Linked DNA regions of Mus musculus. The protein of the gene in region 1 interacts with the protein of each later gene in a pairwise test. Links are inferred from orthologs where the notes say so. Each region holds a gene or a part of one and is shown in the gene's direction. Other genes may lie near its edges.

Region 1 (3,511 bases):
TGGTATTCAAAGTTAGATGCCTAGTTAGAATTCAGATCTCTGTATTCACAGAGTATCATGATATCATCTATAGCCCCTATTAAGCCATCATTAGGTAGTATGTTTATTGTTCCTCCACTCTGCCTTTTTTTTTTTTTGTGCCCCCACCCCCTGAAAAAGCACTTTTGGGTATTCTTCCTGTCCCCTGATGCTCCTTTGAAGCTCACAGTACACTGCTAATTATAAAATAGAAAGTTCTTTTTTCTACAAGTCCAAGTGATGAGTTTACTCTCTCAACTGCTTTTTGTATTTGCTTAGAAACATACAAGTATTTATTCCTGAAAAAGAGATGTCAGTTTCTTTGGTGCAGTAACTGAAAACCTTGCTTTTTTTATGTCAGTGTCTATAGGAGAGTGACTAAGAAAGGACAGTAACACAGATGATGGCCGCAGCCTTCCTCCCAGTCCTTCACTTTATTCTGACATAGGAAGACGTTTGGCTGAGCTGGTGATACTCACCACTTTCACTAGAAGCTGACCTAACCTTTCAAGAATCATTTATCTTCGTACTTTGATGTCAAAACTTTTCTCCATTTTCCATGTTCATGTGTGTCCACAAAGATATATGATATATGACTATACATATACACGCTTATATAATGCCATTCATGTAGATTTAATTGATCAGTTGTTCACCTGTTCACTTTGTTCTTAAACCAGGGTAATTCCTGGTATTGTATGTAGTGCATGCTGATAGTCCCAGTACTCAAGAAACAGAGGCAGGAGGATTGCTGTAAGTTTGAAACCAGTGCAATGTGCACAGCAGGTTCATGTCACCAGACTTACACACCTCTTTTTTTTTTTTTTTTTTTTTTTTTTTTTTTTTTTGACACCTTGTGTCAAAAAGAAACAACAAAAACAAATGAGCCAAATAATAGTTCTTTCTATGTTAAGTCAAAATAAAGCCAAAAATCAATACTTTTAACTAAAAAACAACTACGTAACTTTTAAAATAGTTTTGAATAAAACTACTTAACTGTTATTACATCCAATGTAAGAACAGTACTGGTTAATTATTTACGGTCAGCATCGTCTGTAATGTGTTACTGTTGAGATGAATTGGGAATAAGCCGTGTTTGCTTCCTGTTTGCTGTGATTGTGTATAGGTTACTTTCCGTACCAGAATCTATCACTGCAACATCAACAGTCAGGGAGTCATCTGCCTGGATATTCTGAAAGACAACTGGAGTCCTGCTTTGACTATTTCAAAGGTTTTGCTCTCTATTTGTTCCCTTTTGACAGATTGCAACCCTGGTAAGCAAATCTTTATGAATCTACAAGTAAAATGTGTTTTTTTAATGTTGGTCAAGACATAAATGTTACTATTAGGAAGAGCTGCATCAGAAATAGAGTATCTAGTAAGAGACTAGGTGTTAATGAGACAACTCTGAACTCACAGGGAGACGGTCTTTAATAGTATGTCGTAATACAGGGACCTTGAGAGATATATACACACCGTAGTAATGTTAAATTGTAGGTGCAAGACATATATAGAATATCTGGAAAAAAAGTTGTATGCCAAGGATTGAGTTCTGAGTCTCGGGCATCCAGAAGGGAAGCGTTTTATTGTGTCTGTATTGGCTTTGTTTGGTGTACTTTCTATACACAAAGCATGTGTGCATGCTTTGCTTATAAAAGTTTTAACCTCAGATTCAACTTTTACTTCAAAATTCTATTTAAAATAAGATGACAGGTAAGTTTTTAGACTGCTTATGTTTACAATTATAGATGTTACTTCATGACTGTCAGGGATCGTTTCATTCTGAATAACATTGTAAGATGGAGGCTTTATGTGAAGCTTAGGTAACGATGCTTAACAAGAAATGCAGCCTCAGACTTTCATAGTTGAATAAAGTGTCAAGAATAACATGACAGGGAACTTGCATCCTTGACATCTCAACAGAATATCTTGGGGCACCTAAGCAAGACCCACACAATGTCATCAGCAATTTCAGAAGTCCCTACCCCAGCTGCTAGGGGAGCAAGAAGATGTCATTTCTAGTGATGAGCCCCTGATAGGTTACATCTTTATTCCTAAACGGTCAGCCCTAAAGACATAGACTGAAGAGAGAGGGAGAAAAGAAGGAAGGCACATTAAAGAAAGGAGTCCTGGCTTTGGATAGAGCTAGAAGTAAACGTAATGTAAATATAGTCGTGTAGGATTCTCAAAAAACAGAAAGTTAAGTCTAAAATATTTGTTAAAACACATATCTTTTCCAAATATTAAACTGTATAGCTGTTTCTTGACTATTTTTTATGAAAAAGTAAAAACATTCTGAATTAAAATGCTGCCAAACTGTAGCTGTTTTTATATAATGCCTTGTTAGAACTATATGTTTAAAACATACATGTTTTAATGTCCTTTTCACTTTTCCAGCGGATCCTCTGGTCGGAAGCATAGCCACTCAGTATTTGACCAACAGAGCAGAACATGACAGGATAGCCAGACAGTGGACCAAGAGATACGCAACATAATTCACATCATTTGTATGCAGTGTGAAGGAGCAGAAGGCCTCTTCCCACTGTGCTGCGGATCTTTATAGCCTTTACAATACGGACTTCTGTGTATATGTTATACTGATTCTACTCTTGTCTTTATCCTTTGGAGACTGGGAGACTCCCCCAAAAGGTAAAAGCTACCAAGAGTAGAACTTTGTAGCTGTAGATTAGTTATGTTTAAAATGCCTACTTGCAAGTCTTGCTTCTTTGGGATATCAAAATGTATTTTGTGATGTACTAAGGATACTGGTCCTGAAGTCTACCAAATATTATAGTGCATTTTAGCCTAATTCATTATCTGTATGAAGTTATAAAAGTAGCTGTAGATGACTAGGAATTATGTCATTTGTATTAAGCCCAGATCTATTTCTGAGTATGTGGTTCATGCTGTTGTGAAATGTTTTACCTTTGTCAGTTTGTAATGAGAGGATTTCCTTCTACCCTTTGTAGCTCAGAGAGCACTGATGTATCATCTCAAACACAATAAACATGCTCCTGAAGGCATAGTTTCTTGTCATAATGTTGAAAGTCTTGTCAGAAGGTGTGTCTGAGATGATTGTTGATGAAATAAAGACGTGGCTATGAAGATTGATTATTAAGGACTAGTACAAATGAATTATTAAATTGAAAACATTTAAAAATCCTGTGTGTAGAGTTTTTTCCTTTAAGGAGAGAATACAGTGGGCTTAAATATGAAGCTGGATTTTAACCATTGGTCTTAAAAAACAATAACACACAAATTCTACATTGACAGTGTAGCATTTGAATTGAAAATGAAGTCCTGCGTTATTTAGGACTCTCTCCGTGTCTTAACAGAACATTTTGTCTCCAAATTGGTGATTTCTGTTCAACGCTGGGCAATATTGTCAGATAATTGCTATGCTGTGATTGCTTTTCTATGGTGCTTTTCCCTTTATTCCTGATCTTGAATTTTTATGGTGCATTATTGCTACTGTGATACATAGCCGGCAAGT
Region 2 (4,125 bases), on another chromosome or scaffold:
AGCAAGGTCTTCAAAGAGAAAGAAGCAGGCTTTGGTTCCCACCCAGTGTTTCCTGAGCACAGGATTTGGTCCTCCTGGCATCCTAGATGCAGGGGCAGCAAAGCACCGAACTAGACCGGTTTTCTACACTCCAGCTCCAGCCAGGGAAAGCGTTTCGCTAATGTCAGCTGTGGTGGCTACTCCTGGTGGTCAACTTGACTATCTGGAAGGAATTACAACCCAGAATTGGAGGGCTCACCTGTGATCCAGATCTTGAGGCTGGAAGACACAAGTTTCTGACCTGGATCTTGACATGGAGATCTTGAGGTACAGTGGCCATTAAGTTTAGGACCAGGCAAGGCAGTACACGACTTCAATCCCAGACTGGGGCAAGGAGTTCTCTGAGTTCAAAGTCAGCCCGGGAGAAAGCAAGTCCCAAATCCAAACAAGGTGGTGCACACCTTAATCTGGGCCACGCCTTCTGCTGGAAGTCTACATAAGGACATAGGAAGAAGGAAGATTCTCTTCTTCACGGGCTTGCACTTACTTGCCAGCACATCTGTCGGAACCTACTTCTACAGAAGACCAGCTGAAAGAACTAGCCACGTGGGACTGCGCAACTACTAGATTCTTGGACTTCCCATCCACAGCTGCCCATTGTTGGGTTAGCCTGTAAGTCATCACGATTAATTATAGAGAGAGAAACATTCACTAGGTTCTGTAGCTCTAGAGAACCCCTGGCTAATACATCACCCAACCGGAGGAGGGGAAAAGACGCACCTCGGTCTGCAGCCAAGATAACTCACCTACTACAGCTTGCCGGTTAAATTGCCAAACCTCAGCCAGTCGGAAGTGACGTGCCAGCATAGACTCTCAGGTCGGCCACGTAATACACCGCCGCCTTAAACAGCAACCCTCCCCCAGAATTGACCCGGAGACCGGGAAAGTGTGGCCCAACGCCCACAACCCGTAGCCGCCCAGGCCTCTGCGGTTCCCAGCCCCACCGAGGACCAGCTTGAGCCTCTGCGGGCTCGCTGACCGCGCAGCTCTGCCAGCCCAGCCACGGCGCGCTGCCCGCCATGGGGTTCGGCGTCTCGCCACGCGCATGCGCGGCCCTCAGTCTCCGGGGGACCGCTCTGGTCACCTGGGCGCCAGCACCTCAGCCACGGGAAGCGGCGGGTTCCCTCTCGCCCGGTAAACTAGCCGCGCAGGCCCTCGCCTCCGGCTCTCCGCCCGCCACCCGCCGCGGGCCCGACTAGGCCCTGGCACGGCGGCTCGGCGCCGCGCAGCTGTCTTCCATCGCCGCAGCGCGGCTTCCGCTTCCGGCGAGTATTGTGTGTCGCGCCGCGGGGCGGGGGTGAGGGGAGGAGGAAGGAGGGAGGCAGTGCTCCGGCGGCTCCGCGCCCGGCACTCCGGGACCCGGAGCCGGGAAGGTAGGTGCTGCGCCGCCGCCACAAGGGTCCCGCAGCCGGCTCCAGCGAGCGGGCTCCTCTCGCCGCGGCCCTACGCCCGGCGAGTACGTCAGCCGGCCGGCGCGCAACCACAGCTGCCTCCGCCCGCCTCGGGCCCGGAGGACGTTTGCCGCCCCGGCGACGTCAGCGCGTCCGGCGTTGCTTGGCTACCCCGCCGTTCCCCTGTCCCGCTGCCTTTGGTCTCCCCGGGTGAAACTGACGCAGTCATCGCGGGTCTGGGCTGCGACATGGCAGCGGGCATCCCACCTTCACGTCACACCTCTCCCTCACTTAGACACGCATCCGTTCCTCCCTGCCAAGCACGACGTATGCTCCCTCACTCTGGTCCTCATGCTCCCGATATGGCTGGAGAAGATGGAGAACGGGTGGGACAGAGTTGTGGCCAGTGCTTGAAAGAGGCTCCTGAGGTGGTACCCAATAGTGATTAAAGGCAAAACGTGGACGTCTCTGACGCGATTACTTACACTGAGATCGAGTAATGGAGAGTGGGAGGAAGGATCAAGCCAGAGGAGCACAAGGCCATATTATGGCTGCCCTCTACACCACCACCACACCACCCCCAGCTCCAAATCCTCTCCGTTCTTCACTATCCTTGAGCCCGTTTCTCTCTCATACCATCTATTTGCTAATTAGATACATGCAGGTCTCTCAAGTGTGAATATGGTTCAGTTTTAGGTGAGGATGCCACTTATCTGTAGGATTGAGGAGGAGGAGGCTAAGTCACTAGTCAAAACTGGATTCTAATGGGCAGAGAAGAAAGAAATCATCCAACTGTACTTATCTGGATCAATTCTTTTCTCCATTAAAAGAGGATAAGTTACCAACTCCTACTTAAAATCCTTCCATTTGTACCACCAGTATACAGAAATAATCATTGTTGCCCCAATTCATTACATGGGCACTTTTCTGTCGATGGGTAGACCTATCAAATTTCCTTCCTTTTTGGGGGGCCCCTTTTGGGACAGAAGGAAAGTAGGGGGTTATGGGACCAGATAAATTAGCTTACTTATGTATTGACATCTTAAGAATGGAGAGCTTTGGTTGTCTCTTTCCATACACTTATTCATTTATTGAGACCAATAACTATTTATTGGTTATATTTAATTTAGGCTGGCCTCGAGTTCCTGAGGCTCCTGCCTTTGCCTCCTCGGTACATGCGCTACCTACCTAGTATTAACCATACCTGGCTAATTTCCTTCCTAATCACTGACTATCTAAGGAGTTAGTTATCAGTAGTGACGTTGAAAGACTGCAGTCACCACTGAATGTTTAGAATGTACTTGCCAGCTCTCTCTCCAAGAAGCTGCTGCCCTCAATGCACTCAATGGTGCTTCCTTAGAGCTGATATGTATTTGTTGCTTTGCAGCCATCCCAGCTGCACACAAATAGAAATGCGGTGAGTGACAGGAGCATCTTCAAGAAGAGAGCGTTCTTCCTTTGGGCTAGTTTGGGGAAAGGAAGAACCATGTCATGCTTTCCCTGAAACAGTGTGTTACTGTAGTGTAACTCATTAAGAGGAACAGCAGACAATCAAGGCTAGACTCTAAAACAATAAACTTCCTATGACGTTAGAAGAAGTAGCTTGGGGTTCTTTGAAATCGATGCAGTAATTATATATGAAGTTCTTTAAAGTAGTAATGAGTTCTAGGGCTGATAGTCAGTTTTAATAGATATGTAGATATATTATTTGTTTTACAAATCTTACTCTACAGCCCAGGCTAGCCTTATTCTTGTATTGATCCTCCTGCCTCACAGTGAGCCACCATGCCCAGCTAAAATCTTAATACTTTGGCTTATGTGACATATCTCATTTCCCATGGTTCCCTCCCTGTAGAAATAAGATCTGTGTAATTCAAGCTAACCTAGAACTCATTGTGTAGCCTACGTTGGCCTTCAGCTAATGACAGTCCCCCTACCTTGACCTCAAAAATGGCTAGGGAAATGGGTTTCAGTCGCCATATCAGGCTCCTTTTCATTGCTGGTATTGAAAAAGCAGAGGTAAAGAAATTCTGGGCACTGCTGATATTTGCTGACTCAAAATAATAATAAAATAATAATAACAGTGATGGGGAGAGGTCACACACACTGTAAATAGACCAACAGATGAAAAGGTGGAAATGGGAGAATACCAAGATGGGGCTTCATCTAGACCTATGGCTTACTGGGAGCTAATGTCAGGAAACAAAATAACCCTCCAACTAACACTTCTTTCCTCTCTCCCTGCCTCCAAGTTATAATGGCAGAGACAAGTCTGTTAGAGGCTGGAACCTCTGCAGCCTCCACAGCCGCTGCTCTGGAGAACCTGCAGGTGGAAGCAAGCTGTTCTGTATGCCTAGAGTATCTGAAGGAGCCAGTTATTATTGAATGTGGGCACAACTTCTGCAAAGCGTGCATTACCCGCTGGTGGGAAGACCTAGAGCGGGACTTCCCTTGCCCTGTCTGTCGGAAGACATCCCGATACCGGAGTCTCCGGCCTAACCGACAGCTAGGCAGTATGGTGGAAATCGCCAAGCAGCTCCAGACGGTCAAGCGGAAGATCAGAGATGAAAGCCTCTGCTCCCAGCACCACGAACCTCTTAGCCTTTTCTGCTATGAAGACCAGGAGGCTGTCTGTCTGATATGTGCAATTTCTCATACCCACCGGCCCCACACCGTCGTGCCGATGGATGATGCT
Region 3 (4,055 bases), on another chromosome or scaffold:
CAGCTGACAGCCTGAAGAGTAGAAATGTCAGCACATCAGGCCAAGGTCTGGACCTGCCAACCAACAACTTCCCTCCCCAACTTGAGGCCACAGTACCCAGTGTAAATGCCCTTCAGGCCTTCTGTCTTCAGGATGCTGGTGAGGGCATGGAAACTGGTTTTGTACTCTCGAGTCTTGGCCCCTTCACCACTCAACTGCATCCGGTTCTTCACCAGGTCCAGGGGCTGCACAAAGACTGTAGCACCCATCCTGAAGTGAGGCAGGAAAGGGAATCAGAGGTCAGTGGTTCCAGCTCTACTGCAACCTGGCAAGAAGTTACAAAGGTCAGGGCCACTAAGGATTCAGGAGGCTGGTGGGCATGTGTGTTAAGTGTGTGCATCAAGGGCAACGTGCCAGCAAAAGAGTCCAGTTGCCCAGTAAGGGGCATGCAAATCAAAAAGCCTCAGGCAGTTCTTTAGGGTTCAAGCAGAATTAGGACTACAGGCGATCTAAAGAAAGGTGGAGAGGGCGTCCCCATCCTAAGACTCCAAGCAGTCCTATAACAAAGCCTTTAATGACCTATACCCACCACCCAAACAGGCACAACGAAGCAAAGGTGGTGGAAACACAGGGTAAAGATCCTTGAATGCAGCACAGTTGGGTCCCTGCAAAGGATGAATAGATCCTGGCAACCCATCAGGGACCCTGCACCGGCTCAATTTACTGCAACACACCCCAAGTTACACTGGGCCCAGGTGCTTGCTCCCGTCCCTTCCTCCTTTTCCCCCATCACTGGGGCCTGAGCTTACCCAGCCAGGCCCCCAAACAGGAACTTGACAGACTTAGGGGAGGTACGGGGTTTCCCGTCCATCCGGCCAGCCCCAGGACTCGCCGTCGCCGCCATCGCCCCTTGATGGCCCTCGGCTTTGGGTCCCGTGCACGTACAGCCCCGCTCGCGCCCAAGGTGACACCAGCGCGCAACAGGGTGAGGGCGCGCGCGCGCACGCCCCTCCGACAGGCAAATCTGGCTCCAGCTGGAAGCTGGGGCGGGCGCAGGCTCGGAGCGCAAAGGCAGCCGGGGAATAAGGCGGGGCTAAGATGCACGATGAAGGGGCGTGGCCGATTTAGGAAGCTACCCTAAATTCCCGCCCCTCCGGAATTGGAATCGCGGGGAAAAAAAAAAAAAAAAAGCTTGTTTGAAAACCTCGCGAGAGCAAGTGAATCAGCCGAGTTCGGGCTATGAGGCCTCTCGCGATATATTTCAGCGGCGAAAGGGGGTGGGGGGGTGGAGGGAGGGTGGTGGCAAGCACTCTCGCGATACTTTGAACGTACCGTGGCGGCCAGACGAAGGAGAGGTTTGTAAACAGGGCAGCTCCAGGATCTCAGGGACTGAGGGAAAAAAACTAGATCGTCTCCTGAGCATCGAAGCTCCCTCCATCTCCGCAGGCTCCTTCTACATGTCAAACATTTCTTTCAACCGGCCTCTCGGGACCGGAAGTCCTCCGTCCTGAGCGTCCAATACTGGAATTGGCCTTTCTTACCGGAAACCCTTTTCCAGGGGCATAGGAAGACAGTCTACCTGGCCGGAAGTCCCACCTCTTTGAGGTTTCTCCTACCCTTCCGGAAGTTTTTTTGTTGTTGTTGTTACCTGTTTGCCTTCGCTCCTATTCTGTCCTATTTCTGTACTAGAGAAAGATACATTGTCTCCCCTACCAGCTCCGCTAAGCTGGTTTGATAGCTCACTCCCTGAATCGGAGTTCCTTCCCCGACGCCCCCATGTAGCTGAGAAGTGGGACCTAGGGGTGGTTGGACCCCTGGGATCCTGAAGGAGAGGCAGAGGAGGGCGCAGGACTCGGCTTCTGCTCCTGCGATCAGAACGCGACCTTCGCAGCTTTACCCCTCCCGCTGCCATGCACCCTGCGGCCTTCCCGCTTCCTGTTGTCGTGGCTACTGTACTGTGGGGAGCAGCCCCTGTCCGAGGGCTGATTCGAGCGGTGAGTCTGAGGGTCGGACGGGGACAGGGTGCTGAGAATGGGGTTCAGACTGAAACACGTAGTGTTCCGTCTGCAGACTTCGGAGCACAATGCCAGCATGGACTTTGCAGACCTTCCAGCTCTGTTTGGGGCCACTCTGAGCGACGAGGGACTGCAGGTGATGTTTTCCCCATTTCCCTATATGGATCCTGGGTAGGGGCGAAGTGGCCGTGCTCAGGAGGTAGGAAGTAGTGGAGTTAGCAGCGGAATGCAGTGGACTGCGGATAGTTCAATGATAGGGTGCTTTTTCTAGTATGAGTGAGATTCTAGGTTGAATCTCCAGCAAAAAAAAAAAAGTGTCCCCAATCCAGAAAAACCTAAGTGCATGATCATGTCCAGCGCGCAGAGTCCAGAATCCAGAGATAATAGATAGTGCCCACCTCTAGAACTTAACATTTTTTATTTTATATGCATAGGTGTGAGAGTGTCAGATCCCCTGGAACTGGAGTTACAGTCAGTTGTGAGCTGCTACATGGATGCTAGGAACTGAACTCCGGTTCTCTGGAAGAACAGCCAGTGCGCTTAAGCACTGAACCATCTACAACCCCTAGAACTCCCAAGTTTAAGAGGGAGTCTGAGAGTGGGCTAAGATAAAAAGCAGGTGCTTATCAGCAGTCTCTGGAGCAACTTACTGTTTGTATAGATGGCCATGGACAGCTTTTTATGGGTTCTGAGTCAAATGAGAAATAGAAATTAACCTAGGGCTATCGTGCCAGTGTGATAAGCATGTCTGTAGTAGTTCACTACAAAGTTCATGCCACATAGCAAGAATTCATTCGGCCACAGTTAGCAGTAGAGTTGTAAGATGGCTAATTGGAAAATGAAACTTGTTGAAAATGCCATGAATGAGTAGCAAGGTGAACCACTATCGGTGGGAAACTTAAAAGCAGAACTAAACTACGCTTGAGAAGTTAAGGGAGCCTCTGGTAAGGGATGTAGTTTACTGTAACTGCATCTTCAAGAAAGCTGAGAGATCCCTTTTCTTTTTTCTTTTTTTTGAGACTGGACTCTGGAACTCTGGCTGTCCCCAACTCACAGTAGTCTCAAGTGCTGGGATTAAATGCATGTATCACCATGTCTGAGTTGTAGATTCAGTGTTGGGTGGGATGCTCAGACCTCCAGAATGAGCAATGATAGAGCTGCAGAATGCAGGTAGTATATAGTGTTATGTGTGGTAGGTCCTGTGGAAGACAGAACTAAAGATGAAAATGTTTGCCTTTATCCCTCAGGGGTTCCTTGTGGAGGCCCACCCAGAAAATGCCTGCGGTCCTATTGCCCCACCACCCTCAGCCCCGGTCAATGGGTCAGTCTTTATTGCACTGCTTCGAAGATTCGACTGCAACTTTGACCTCAAGGTTGCTGAATGGGGAATGGGAGGTGGTAAGCAGGGTACATGACACCAGGAATGAAGGGCAAGGGTTACAGCTCTATCCCTCCCGCTTGGCCTCCTTAGGTCCTAAATGCTCAGAAGGCTGGGTATGGTGCAGCTGTGGTGCACAATGTGAATTCCAATGAACTGCTGAACATGGTGTGGAACAGCGGTAAGGAAGAAGCCTGCACTACTGGGTGCACCGTGGAGTTGAGTGGGAGGGCAATTGGTTGAGATCTGCAAAAAGTGCCAAAAGCCAGTTTCAGGGAATTGAGGAACAGAAGGCTAAATCCCTAATATCCTGCTCCTTACAGAGGAAATCCAACAGCAGATCTGGATCCCATCTGTATTTATTGGAGAGAGAAGCGCAGAGTACCTACGAGCCCTTTTTGTCTACGAGAAGGGGTAGGACGCATGCTTTCTTCCAGTTCTTCTCAATCCACTCAGGCTCAGGCTCTTCCTCGGCTGCCTTGACTTTCTCCTCATTATGCCTTGTCCCAAGCCAGTAACCCTATTTTACCTGGCTTGAGGTTGTGTCTCTCTCTCCTCAGGGCTCGGGTGCTTCTGGTTCCAGACAACAGCTTCCCCTTGGGCTATTACCTCATTCCTTTCACTGGGATTGTAGGATTACTGGTTTTGGCCATGGGAACAGTATTGGTAAGTAGCTGAGGAGA
Region 4 (4,299 bases), on another chromosome or scaffold:
TTCCTGCCTCAACAAACGTTTCAAATTTTATTCAACCAACTGACTATTGGAATTAGATCATTTTTATTCTTTTGTTATTTAAAAAGCACTCCAATGAATATCATTAGGTCTATTTTGAGGAATTTAAAGGATAACCTATAGGACACTGCAAGGAGAACCCAGGCTTTGCAGGCAGATGTGCTGGCTAAGACTTGCGGCGACTCTGATGTCTGAGAGGAGTTGGACGAGTTCTCCAAAGGTCACCTGGGTTGAAGCCCATTATCATTTTTAGTTAAAGGTCTGAGTGTATTTATATTCTCCCCACCACTTGTTTTTTTGAGACAAGGCTTCTCTGTGTAGTCCCAACTGTACTAGAACTCGTTCTGTAGACCAGGCTGGCCTTGAACTCAGAGGTCTGCCTTCCTCTGCTTCCTGAGTGCTGGACTGTGTGTATTTCTTAACCGAAGCCTCAGTTTCCTCTCCTGAAACTCTACTGTGGCAGTGGTTGAATGCATCAAATGCTGGTCTGGAGTGACTGGGACGGAGCTAAGTGGAAGAACACTTGAAACCCTGGGTTTGGTCCCTAGATAGTGGAGTGAAACACAGGCCAGGCCTAAGAAATACGAACTACAGTACAAGGCATATAATAGTCACTCAATAAAAATATTTGCTGTTATTATTAAATAAGCAGTATGCTGTTTTGGGGGTGGCGTGGCAGTAGATTAAGAGCTATTTTCGCGATTCAACTGGTGTAGAATCAATTCAACTGGTGTAGTGGTTGAGGGCTTTGAAGCTGGACTAATTTTTCTCCAGCTCTCCTTTGCAGTATGGCTCCGACCATGTTCTCCATCCCCTCTGGCCCCAGTTTCTTTTTTCTTCTTCTTTCTTCTCTTCTTCTTCTTCCTCTTCCTCCTTCTTCTTCTTTTTTGGTTTTTCGAGACAGGGTTTCTCTGTATTGTCCTGGAACTTACTTTGTAGACCAGGCTGGCCTCGAACTCAGAAATCCGCCTGCCTCTGCCTCCCAAGTGCTGGGATTAAAGGTGTGCGTCACCACGCCGGGCTAGTTTCTTCATCTTTAAAAGCCAGGTTTCAAGGTTCTCCGATAGCTTAAAGCCTAACACTTCTTGGTGCTGAACACGCGTTTTACTCAGCTCCCCATCTGACGGCGGCGACATCAAATAATCCAGCAAGGGCTGGAGAAACAGACCAGTGAGTAAAGGTGCTTTGCCACCATGGCTAAGAACTTGAGTTCCATCCCAAGGACCCATAAAGTAGGAGAAACCGGGACGCTCAGATCGAGTCCTGCCCTCTATAGGTGCACCAAGGCACGCTCTCATAGGATAAATTAGATGTCATTTAACAATAACGGAGCAAGAACGTCTAGAAACCCGGAGGGAGAGCTCCCACGTGACCACAGCCAGCCCCACCGGTTTCCCAGGAGGCCGCAGTAACGTCGCAACCACCTAGGCAACGTCTTTGCTCCACCCCCGTCCTCCACTTCCGGTTTTTACGTCATCGACGGGCGACGGGTTCCGGGAAGGGCTGCGCGGCTGCGTAGGGGTCGCAGGTGATTTCGAGGCGGCTGGTGCGGCTTGGGGTCGCCATGGAGAGCGGTTCGCGACCGTCGCTCGGCCAGGTCATCCTGCTGGGCACCAGTTCGATGGTCACCGCCGTACTGTACTCCATATACCGGCAGAAGGCCCAGGTCGCGCAGGAACTCAAGGTCAGTGCGGGGGGTGGGGTGGGCAGCCCGGTCTCACTGGCAGCTCGCGCCGGGGCGCACCGGGGAGCCACAGGGCCCCAGACGACGCGCAGCCAGAGGGGATCCCGGGCACCTGCTGCAGCGAGGCTGCCCCCCCCCAGTGACCCTCAGTGTCACTGGACGTTATTGCAGTGCTGTAAAACTGTTTCTCGAAAACCTGCTGGGCACCAGGTAGTGAGAAAAACAGGCCATTGTCCTGGTGCACAGTGCATTCTAGGTCAACCACACGCCTACACGTAATTGGATCGTGTGATAGGGCGAGAATCGGGTTGGAGTAGGGCAGAGAAAAGCGGAAAGATAGGGAAACGGAGAGTTCCGTTCCTTTTGCTATAGTAAAATATCTGACAGAAAGCAGCTTAGGAGAGGGAGAAGGGTTATTTCGTTTGTAGTTTCAGGTTACCATTCATCATCGCGGGGAAGTCCAGGCCAGGAACTTGAGTCAGCTGCAAATCACGTCTGAGTCGAGAGAAACAACTATTAAACAGTCCAGAGCCCAGACCTAGAGAATGGTGTCAGTCACAACACAACAGCGAGTTTCCCCCCTTCAGTTAGAGCTATCAGGACAGTGTCTAAACAGCTATGCCTACACAGGCTGACTCAATATAGACAGTTCCTTGTTGAGACACTCTTTCCAAGTGATTCTAGATTATGGCCATTGACAGGGGGGCGTCGCCATTTTAAACAAGGTGATACTTGGGTCGGAGATGGAGGATGTGAAGATATGTAAGGCAGGGGTGATTCCAACGTGAAGAACAGCAAACTTAGAGGCTCATTTGGAGAACAGAGAACTTAAAGGCTCATCTATTTAACCGCTCCGCTCCAGGTTTCTACAGTCATTTCTTTGTATATTATAGTTACTTTAAAACTACATTCTCATTTGAGGGTTGCACTTAACAGCTCAGACGGCACATTTCCGTCTCTGTTTTATTTTTGTCTCCAGTCCCAGGTGATCTTTTGGCCTCTATTGGGTACCAGGCATGTATGTGATACACAGACATGCATGCAGGCAAAACCACCCATATAATAAAAAGTAATAAGGTAAAGATGTGAAAGGCCCTTGCTTTTGTGTTAGGACCCAGAGATAAAGCTGGGGTGGAGCGGAGCCCCCAGGGGTCTTCGCCCTCACTGGCTTGTCGCTGTTAATTTAGCTTTTGTAGTTGGCTTGTTGAGGACTGGTGGCTGAGGCTGGCTCTTATGGGTACCGTGGCACAGCTCTGCCTGGAACTCCAGCAACACGACACTTTTTGTCCTCCTTTCTTAGTTGACCGCCTTGCTCTGTGGCACCTGTCAAGCTGACGAACCTTGAAAGGGCGGGGGGATCATCTTCATCTCTCGGTTCTTACCTCAGCGTGTGACGAGCAGTAGCTGCCCAGCGCATGGTGGTGGTGTTATGCTGGCTGGAATTTCACAGTCCATCAGCCAAAGACTTGTTCTGGCAGTTGTATGGAAGATGGACTTTGGAGCCCAAGTCTTATCACCAGGTTGGTTTCAGTAAGGGCTCAGAAACAAAACCGTGGAGTTCTGCAGTGAAAAGGATTGGATCAGAAGTTCCCAGTGTAACGAGGCAGAGGCAGGTGGGTCTCTGAGTTCAAGGGACACCAACCAACCAACCAAACAAACAAACAACCCAGAAAACCAAGCACAAAAAGACAAACAAAAAACCCAGAACAAACAACAACAAAACAAGTGAAGGACACCTGCAGATGAACGATACGTCCTAGGCCAGCCTGTGGTACTTGAGACTTAGTCCCTAAAAGGATGAAATAACCCTTCCTGGAAAAAGCTGTGGGAGCCCTAGTGTCCGCTTGCACCTGTTGGTCAGGTCACAGCTTACAGAGCTGAGTTTGTACTTACTCCCGTGTTTTTCCTGGTGACACGAATGTTTGATTATTGCATGGCTTCTGTCGTAGGGTTTTACTGCTGGGAACAGACACCATGACCAAGGCAACTCTTATAAAAGACAGCATTTAACTGGGGCTGGCTTACAGGTTCAGAGGTTCAACCCATTATCATCAAGGCAGGAACATGGCTGCATCCAGGCAGGCATGGTGCAGGAGGAGCTGAGAGTTCTCCATCTTCATCTGAAGGCTGCTAGAAGAATGCTGGCTTCCAGGCAGCTAGGACTAGGGCATTAAATTAAACCCACACCCTTAGTGACACACCTACTCCAACAAGGCCACTTCTAATAGTGCCACTCCCTGGCCCAAGCATAGACAAACCATCACAACTTCCATGTGTCCGCTCTGGACTGTGTTTTCCCATACCTCAGAGTTCATTTATCCCACTCAGAAAATTCCATGAGATCGTCTTCTCCCTCCCTTTACAGTTTGGAAGCAGACTCAGATGAGTGAAGTTGTTCAGAATCGTCAGGGATATGCTGCTGCTTGAGCTAGCCCGGTCTCTGCTGAGGTTCCTTCTACAGTGTGCCAAGCAGCTAGCACCTTTTAGATACGCATGTAAAAGTACTTATGTGACAGGAGTTTTGTGTTGAACTGGAAAGCAGATGGTGACACCTCCAGCCTTGGGGAAGGGGAGCCCAGTGCCCCTGGCCTAACCAT
Region 5 (4,184 bases), on another chromosome or scaffold:
TTCTATAGACATAGACATGGGCAGCTTTTTTCTCTTTTGGGGCTGTCTTACCAGCTTGCCCTGGTTCTCATGCCTACTCAGCTGTAGAGTATTAGCTAGGATTTAGGTGTGCACGGCGGTCCCTGTGCGTCCTTTGTCTAAGTCCTGCCTACCTCACAGGGTTGTTGTGAGGATCAAATGAAATCAATAACTGTGCGGTACCTTGTAAATTGTACAACACAATGCAAACGCAAATAATATGCAGGTGTGAGAAGGACAAGGCTTGGTAAATAATAGCAGCCTGTGAAGGAGGCTAGTTCAGGTCGAGGAATCCCCACCCCCATTGTGGTGTCCGCCTAGTGTACAGTACCTTTTCTCCGTTTCTGTCAAGTTCAGAGACGAGCTCACTTGACTTCAGTTGTGTTTGTCTTTTATGAAGAAGGTTAGTACCATGTGATGCTTCATTTGCTGAGACCTAGTAGAATCTGGCATAGGTCAGTGATGGGGCAAACAAAATTTGAAAAGAATTCTGACTTAACCAAAGTGCATGGCCTGCCTGCCTAGTCACAGTCTCTGCTGTCCCCTCCCTCCGTGCTGCCTGCAGTTCTGTAGAAAGAGATATTGTTGCTTTTCAAAGACTGCAGTTGGTTATTTGAGTCATTCTCAATAAAATAATTATTCTAAGAAGTTGTTAGACTTTACCTTCCCAACCCCAAATATCAAATATATATGAGTTCTAAAAAGTTTAAACAGAAGTTTATAAAAATCCATTTTTACATTGCTAGTCTCTTCTATTTGACACTATGCATAAATAGACTCTGGAAACTATAAGACTCCCCAGCTCAGCCCCTGTTTGCTGTTCTTCAGGGGAAATATCCTTTCTAAATTCAGAAGCCTGCATTATCTGCTTGCTTCCCTGAAATGCATTACCAATTTTATAATCAGGAGAACTTCATTTTCTTTTAATATTAGATCATGTTTATTCTTCATTAAATGACTTTCTCCCATTTAATAAACTCAGAAATGAGCTTCTAGATAGAACTTCACAGGATGTTTTTAATGGCCGAGCTGGCTTAAATGCCTCTCTGACTGACAGTTTATCCTTTAGCGGGTGCTGGCTTGTCTCTAGAGCACTGAGTCTTGCAGCTGGATTATTGATTTGCACCACATGTAGAGATCAGTCTAGAAAGGGAGCAGCAGGCCCCTCCTGTCCTGTCCCGTCGGCCTGAGAGAGCTTCCCTGCCCCTCACTTAGGTCCCGAGCTCACAAGCACAGACCTAACCCAGTTTGTCTCGGTAGGATAACCCACAAACGCTCAGTAAAGAAAGAAATTCCTCTCCCGCTTAGCCACTAAAGAACAACATATGTTTCTAACGTCAGCTTTTTATTTTTTTTTTATCTTTCATTTTTTGTTGGTAAATCTCCCAGACAACAACAGTTCTGTAGAGAGTTTAAATATGAAGGAATGGCAGGACGGGCTAAGGGCACTTCTACCCAACATTAACATCAACTTTGGTGGACTGCCCAATTCTTCTTCCCCCTCCAACGCCAACCACAGTGCACCAACGTCCAACACTGCCACCACGGACAGCGTGAGTTGGGACAGCCCTGGCAGCTGGACAGACCCAGCCATCATCACAGGTAACTTCCTCCCCGCCCCGCCCCGCCCCGGCCCCGCCCCCGCCCCTCAGCTCCACCCACAGGCGTCAGACTAAGTCAGAGCAGGGGTCTCTGCTTCCTTTTCACAAAGCCTGGTTTGTTCTTAGGGTCGTGGTGAACCTGTCTGCCTAGTTGTGTTCCGAGGCGCTTGTGCCTTGGTCACTCCTTTTGCTCTAAGTAGGTGTTACCGTCTGGCAGCACGTGTGTATTTTGTAGGCCTCAAAGTACTAAAGGATCTAACTGAGCCATCTTAAGAGAAACATACTCCACTCTTTATAAAGCTCTCTATATAAGGCTGTCTGTGTCCAGATCCCTGCTAGAGGCGGGCGGGGGAATGGGGAAACACACCATTTACTTTTGGGAGGCCTGGGGAATCTCTGGCGGGGAGGTTGCTTGTTTGGTGGGGATTTTTGGTTTTGTTTTTTGCTGTTCCGCCTCTGAAAGTGAGGGACCAAGTTTTATGAGGGTTTGTGTCACAGTAAGTCTTGGTCATTGCTGGAGAAGGGGGAGGGAGGGTGGCTAAAGGATCATAAGGCTGAAAAGGTTTCATTTGGAAATTGACAATTGTAATTTATTTCTTGGGTGGCCAGATCACTCTTTTAAAGTTTACCTGAGTAACTTGGCCCTCTTTCCTGACAGACTCACCATTTTCTTTTTGTCTCCTGTTTCCTCTGTAGGTATTCCAGCATCTTCAGGAAACACTTTAGACTCTATTCAAGACGACAATCCTCCACACTGGCTAAAATCCCTACAGGCCCTCACAGAGATGGACGGCCCCAGCGCTGCCTCGTCACAACCCCATCACAGCGCCCCCTTCAGCACACAGATCCCTCTGCACAGAGCCAGTTGGAACCCCTACCCACCTCCTTCAAATCCCTCCAGCTTCCACTCTCCACCCCCAGGCTTCCAGACAGCCTTCAGACCCCCCAGCAAAACCCCCACAGATCTGCTACAGAGTTCCACACTGGACCGCCACTAAGCAAAGAGGGAATTGAAAAGGGCAGGATTTGTCCCACCCTGTTCCCCCTCAGCCCACTCACAGCTCCCTTCTCATCTCTTAACGTTCTGAAGAATCCAGCTCCTGGTCGGGTTTTTTTCTCCCTACCCCCAGATACGATGCGATCACAGCGTCTTTACCATCTTTTCTTTCATTGTAAAAAGTTTCGGTTGATCCAGCATTTGAGTGAGTGACACTGTTGAATGTTTCTGGGGGGCAGGAATTGCCTTTTTAAGCAGAGGAAAAAGAAAATCAAAAGGCAGTCTCAATACTTAGAAAATTACTGTTTGTCTGTCGCTCATAATGACATAATCTGCTTAGCAGAAAATGACAATTAATCTATAGGAAAGGTCAAGTAAATGCATTGTCAACTGCAGAACTGAGAGCACGGCCGACTTAAATGAGATTGCTAAGTTCATGGGGGAAAGCAGTGGTCCTGGCTTCCATCTTGTATTCAACTTTTCACTATTGCAGGAAAAATGCTTTTCATTTTAAATTCTTTATTGAATTGATAGGGAGGACTCAATTGTGTTGTTAAGCAAAGGGATTTATTGGAAGTTGATGAGAAGATAAATTGATCTGTAGTCGTAACTGGCCTACTGCTAAAGAGTTTATAAGGAAGGAAAAGTAATTTTTTAAGGAGAAAAAATTTTGGCTTTAGACTTAAATTCAGATGTTTTAAAGGAAAAAGATATTCACAGATTCAATACCTATCCTTATAAGAGCTGAATTCTATGTGATTTCCTCAGTCTTTCTCCTCTGTCAGAATCTTTTTTTTTTCTTTGACCATAAGTCCACCTGACAGGGCACTCTGAGCCAGCACTGCTCTGGGGCCATCAGATCACCAACAGAAGCAAATCTCTGACCTCTTTGCCTGCAGCTTTTACTTAACCCTGTAGTTTCTGGACGTTTGTGCAGTATTGAAAAGACAGGAGAAAAGAAAACAAACCTGGTTATAACCTGATGCTAAAACTAAAAACAAGGAAATGTACCTCTCTCTTCAGAATTAAAACTAAAATCTTAAATAAAACAGAAAACTTGATGGTGACCCTCGGGTGAGTCTTGTTCTTGTTTTTTCAGTTTGTTTCGTGTGGGTTTGGAATATTTAATGATGCAGTACCATATGAGTTTCCATTAGATTTTACATCTTCAGCTGTGGAGCGTGGTTCTGAGGAAATCAGAACATAAAAGATTTGTCTTTGTCAGCCACTGCTAGTTTTAAGGCTCAGCCCCTCTTGCTCTCAACACTCCTCTCCCAGTGGCTAAGAACTCTCTCTTAGAGATGCAGAGCAGACCTTGACAACTGAAGCCACTCATCAGGAGTGAGTAGGAGCCTGACATGCTGAGATGGGTCTCCAGGAAGAGTTGTCGGAGCGGTGGCAGCGGCAGCAGCAGCCCAGTAGCATCACCCTCTGAGCTGCAGGAAAGAGACCCAGCAGCCCTGGGGCGGACAGTCCAGACACCTGTCTCGGCCAGCCAGAGTAGGGGGACCTGACTAAAGTAGTGGAGGCTCTCGCTAGAAGACTGCGTTCAGTTGGCAGTCTTGTAA

What was found.
Region 2: the proteins of Ube2e3 (region 1) and Trim39 interact in binary tests that used the Homo sapiens proteins (3 or more experiments, as listed by UniProt). The link is inferred for Mus musculus from reciprocal best matches to the Homo sapiens genes UBE2E3 and TRIM39.
Region 3: the proteins of Ube2e3 (region 1) and Rnf167 interact in a two-hybrid assay, tested with the Homo sapiens proteins (2 studies listed by BioGRID and IntAct). The link is inferred for Mus musculus from reciprocal best matches to the Homo sapiens genes UBE2E3 and RNF167.
Region 4: the proteins of Ube2e3 (region 1) and Mul1 interact in a two-hybrid assay, tested with the Homo sapiens proteins (2 studies listed by BioGRID and IntAct). The link is inferred for Mus musculus from reciprocal best matches to the Homo sapiens genes UBE2E3 and MUL1.
Region 5: the proteins of Ube2e3 (region 1) and Cnot4 interact in a two-hybrid assay, tested with the Homo sapiens proteins (3 studies listed by BioGRID and IntAct). The link is inferred for Mus musculus from reciprocal best matches to the Homo sapiens genes UBE2E3 and CNOT4.

The regions. Positions count from the first base shown.
Region 1 is NC_000068.7:78,917,543-78,921,053, forward strand, and holds the end of Ube2e3 (ubiquitin-conjugating enzyme E2 E3), read left to right. Parts: intron 1-1,144; coding exon 1,145-1,292; intron 1,293-2,415; coding exon 2,416-2,513; 3' UTR 2,514-3,041; downstream 3,042-3,511. UniProt on the Homo sapiens protein: Accepts ubiquitin from the E1 complex and catalyzes its covalent attachment to other proteins. In vitro catalyzes 'Lys-11'- and 'Lys-48'-, as well as 'Lys-63'-linked polyubiquitination.
Region 2 is NC_000083.6:36,268,624-36,272,748, reverse strand, and holds the start of Trim39 (E3 ubiquitin-protein ligase TRIM39), read left to right. Parts: upstream 1-1,315; 5' UTR 1,316-1,412; intron 1,413-1,971; exon of another isoform or gene 1,972-3,682; 5' UTR 3,683-3,687; coding exon 3,688-4,125.
Region 3 is NC_000077.6:70,645,980-70,650,034, forward strand, and holds the start of Rnf167 (E3 ubiquitin-protein ligase RNF167 isoform 1 precursor), read left to right. Parts: upstream 1-1,255; 5' UTR 1,256-1,889; coding exon 1,890-1,973; intron 1,974-2,035; exon of another isoform or gene 2,036-2,049; coding exon 2,050-2,130; intron 2,131-2,428; exon of another isoform or gene 2,429-2,613; intron 2,614-3,241; coding exon 3,242-3,367; intron 3,368-3,465; coding exon 3,466-3,553; intron 3,554-3,695; coding exon 3,696-3,786; intron 3,787-3,932; coding exon 3,933-4,038; intron 4,039-4,055. Other genes in the region: Slc25a11 (mitochondrial 2-oxoglutarate/malate carrier protein), read right to left, coding at 1-11, 97-249, 789-883.
Region 4 is NC_000070.6:138,433,178-138,437,476, forward strand, and holds the start of Mul1 (mitochondrial ubiquitin ligase activator of NFKB 1), read left to right. Parts: upstream 1-1,494; 5' UTR 1,495-1,582; coding exon 1,583-1,702; intron 1,703-3,002; exon of another isoform or gene 3,003-3,117; coding exon of another isoform or gene 3,118-3,222; intron 3,223-4,299. UniProt on the Homo sapiens protein: Exhibits weak E3 ubiquitin-protein ligase activity. E3 ubiquitin ligases accept ubiquitin from an E2 ubiquitin-conjugating enzyme in the form of a thioester and then directly transfer the ubiquitin to targeted substrates.
Region 5 is NC_000072.6:35,021,564-35,025,747, reverse strand, and holds the end of Cnot4 (CCR4-NOT transcription complex subunit 4), read left to right. Parts: exon of another isoform or gene 1-1,407; coding exon 1,408-1,620; intron 1,621-2,315; coding exon 2,316-2,617; 3' UTR 2,618-3,683; downstream 3,684-4,184. UniProt on the Homo sapiens protein: Has E3 ubiquitin ligase activity, promoting ubiquitination and degradation of target proteins. Involved in activation of the JAK/STAT pathway. Catalyzes ubiquitination of methylated RBM15.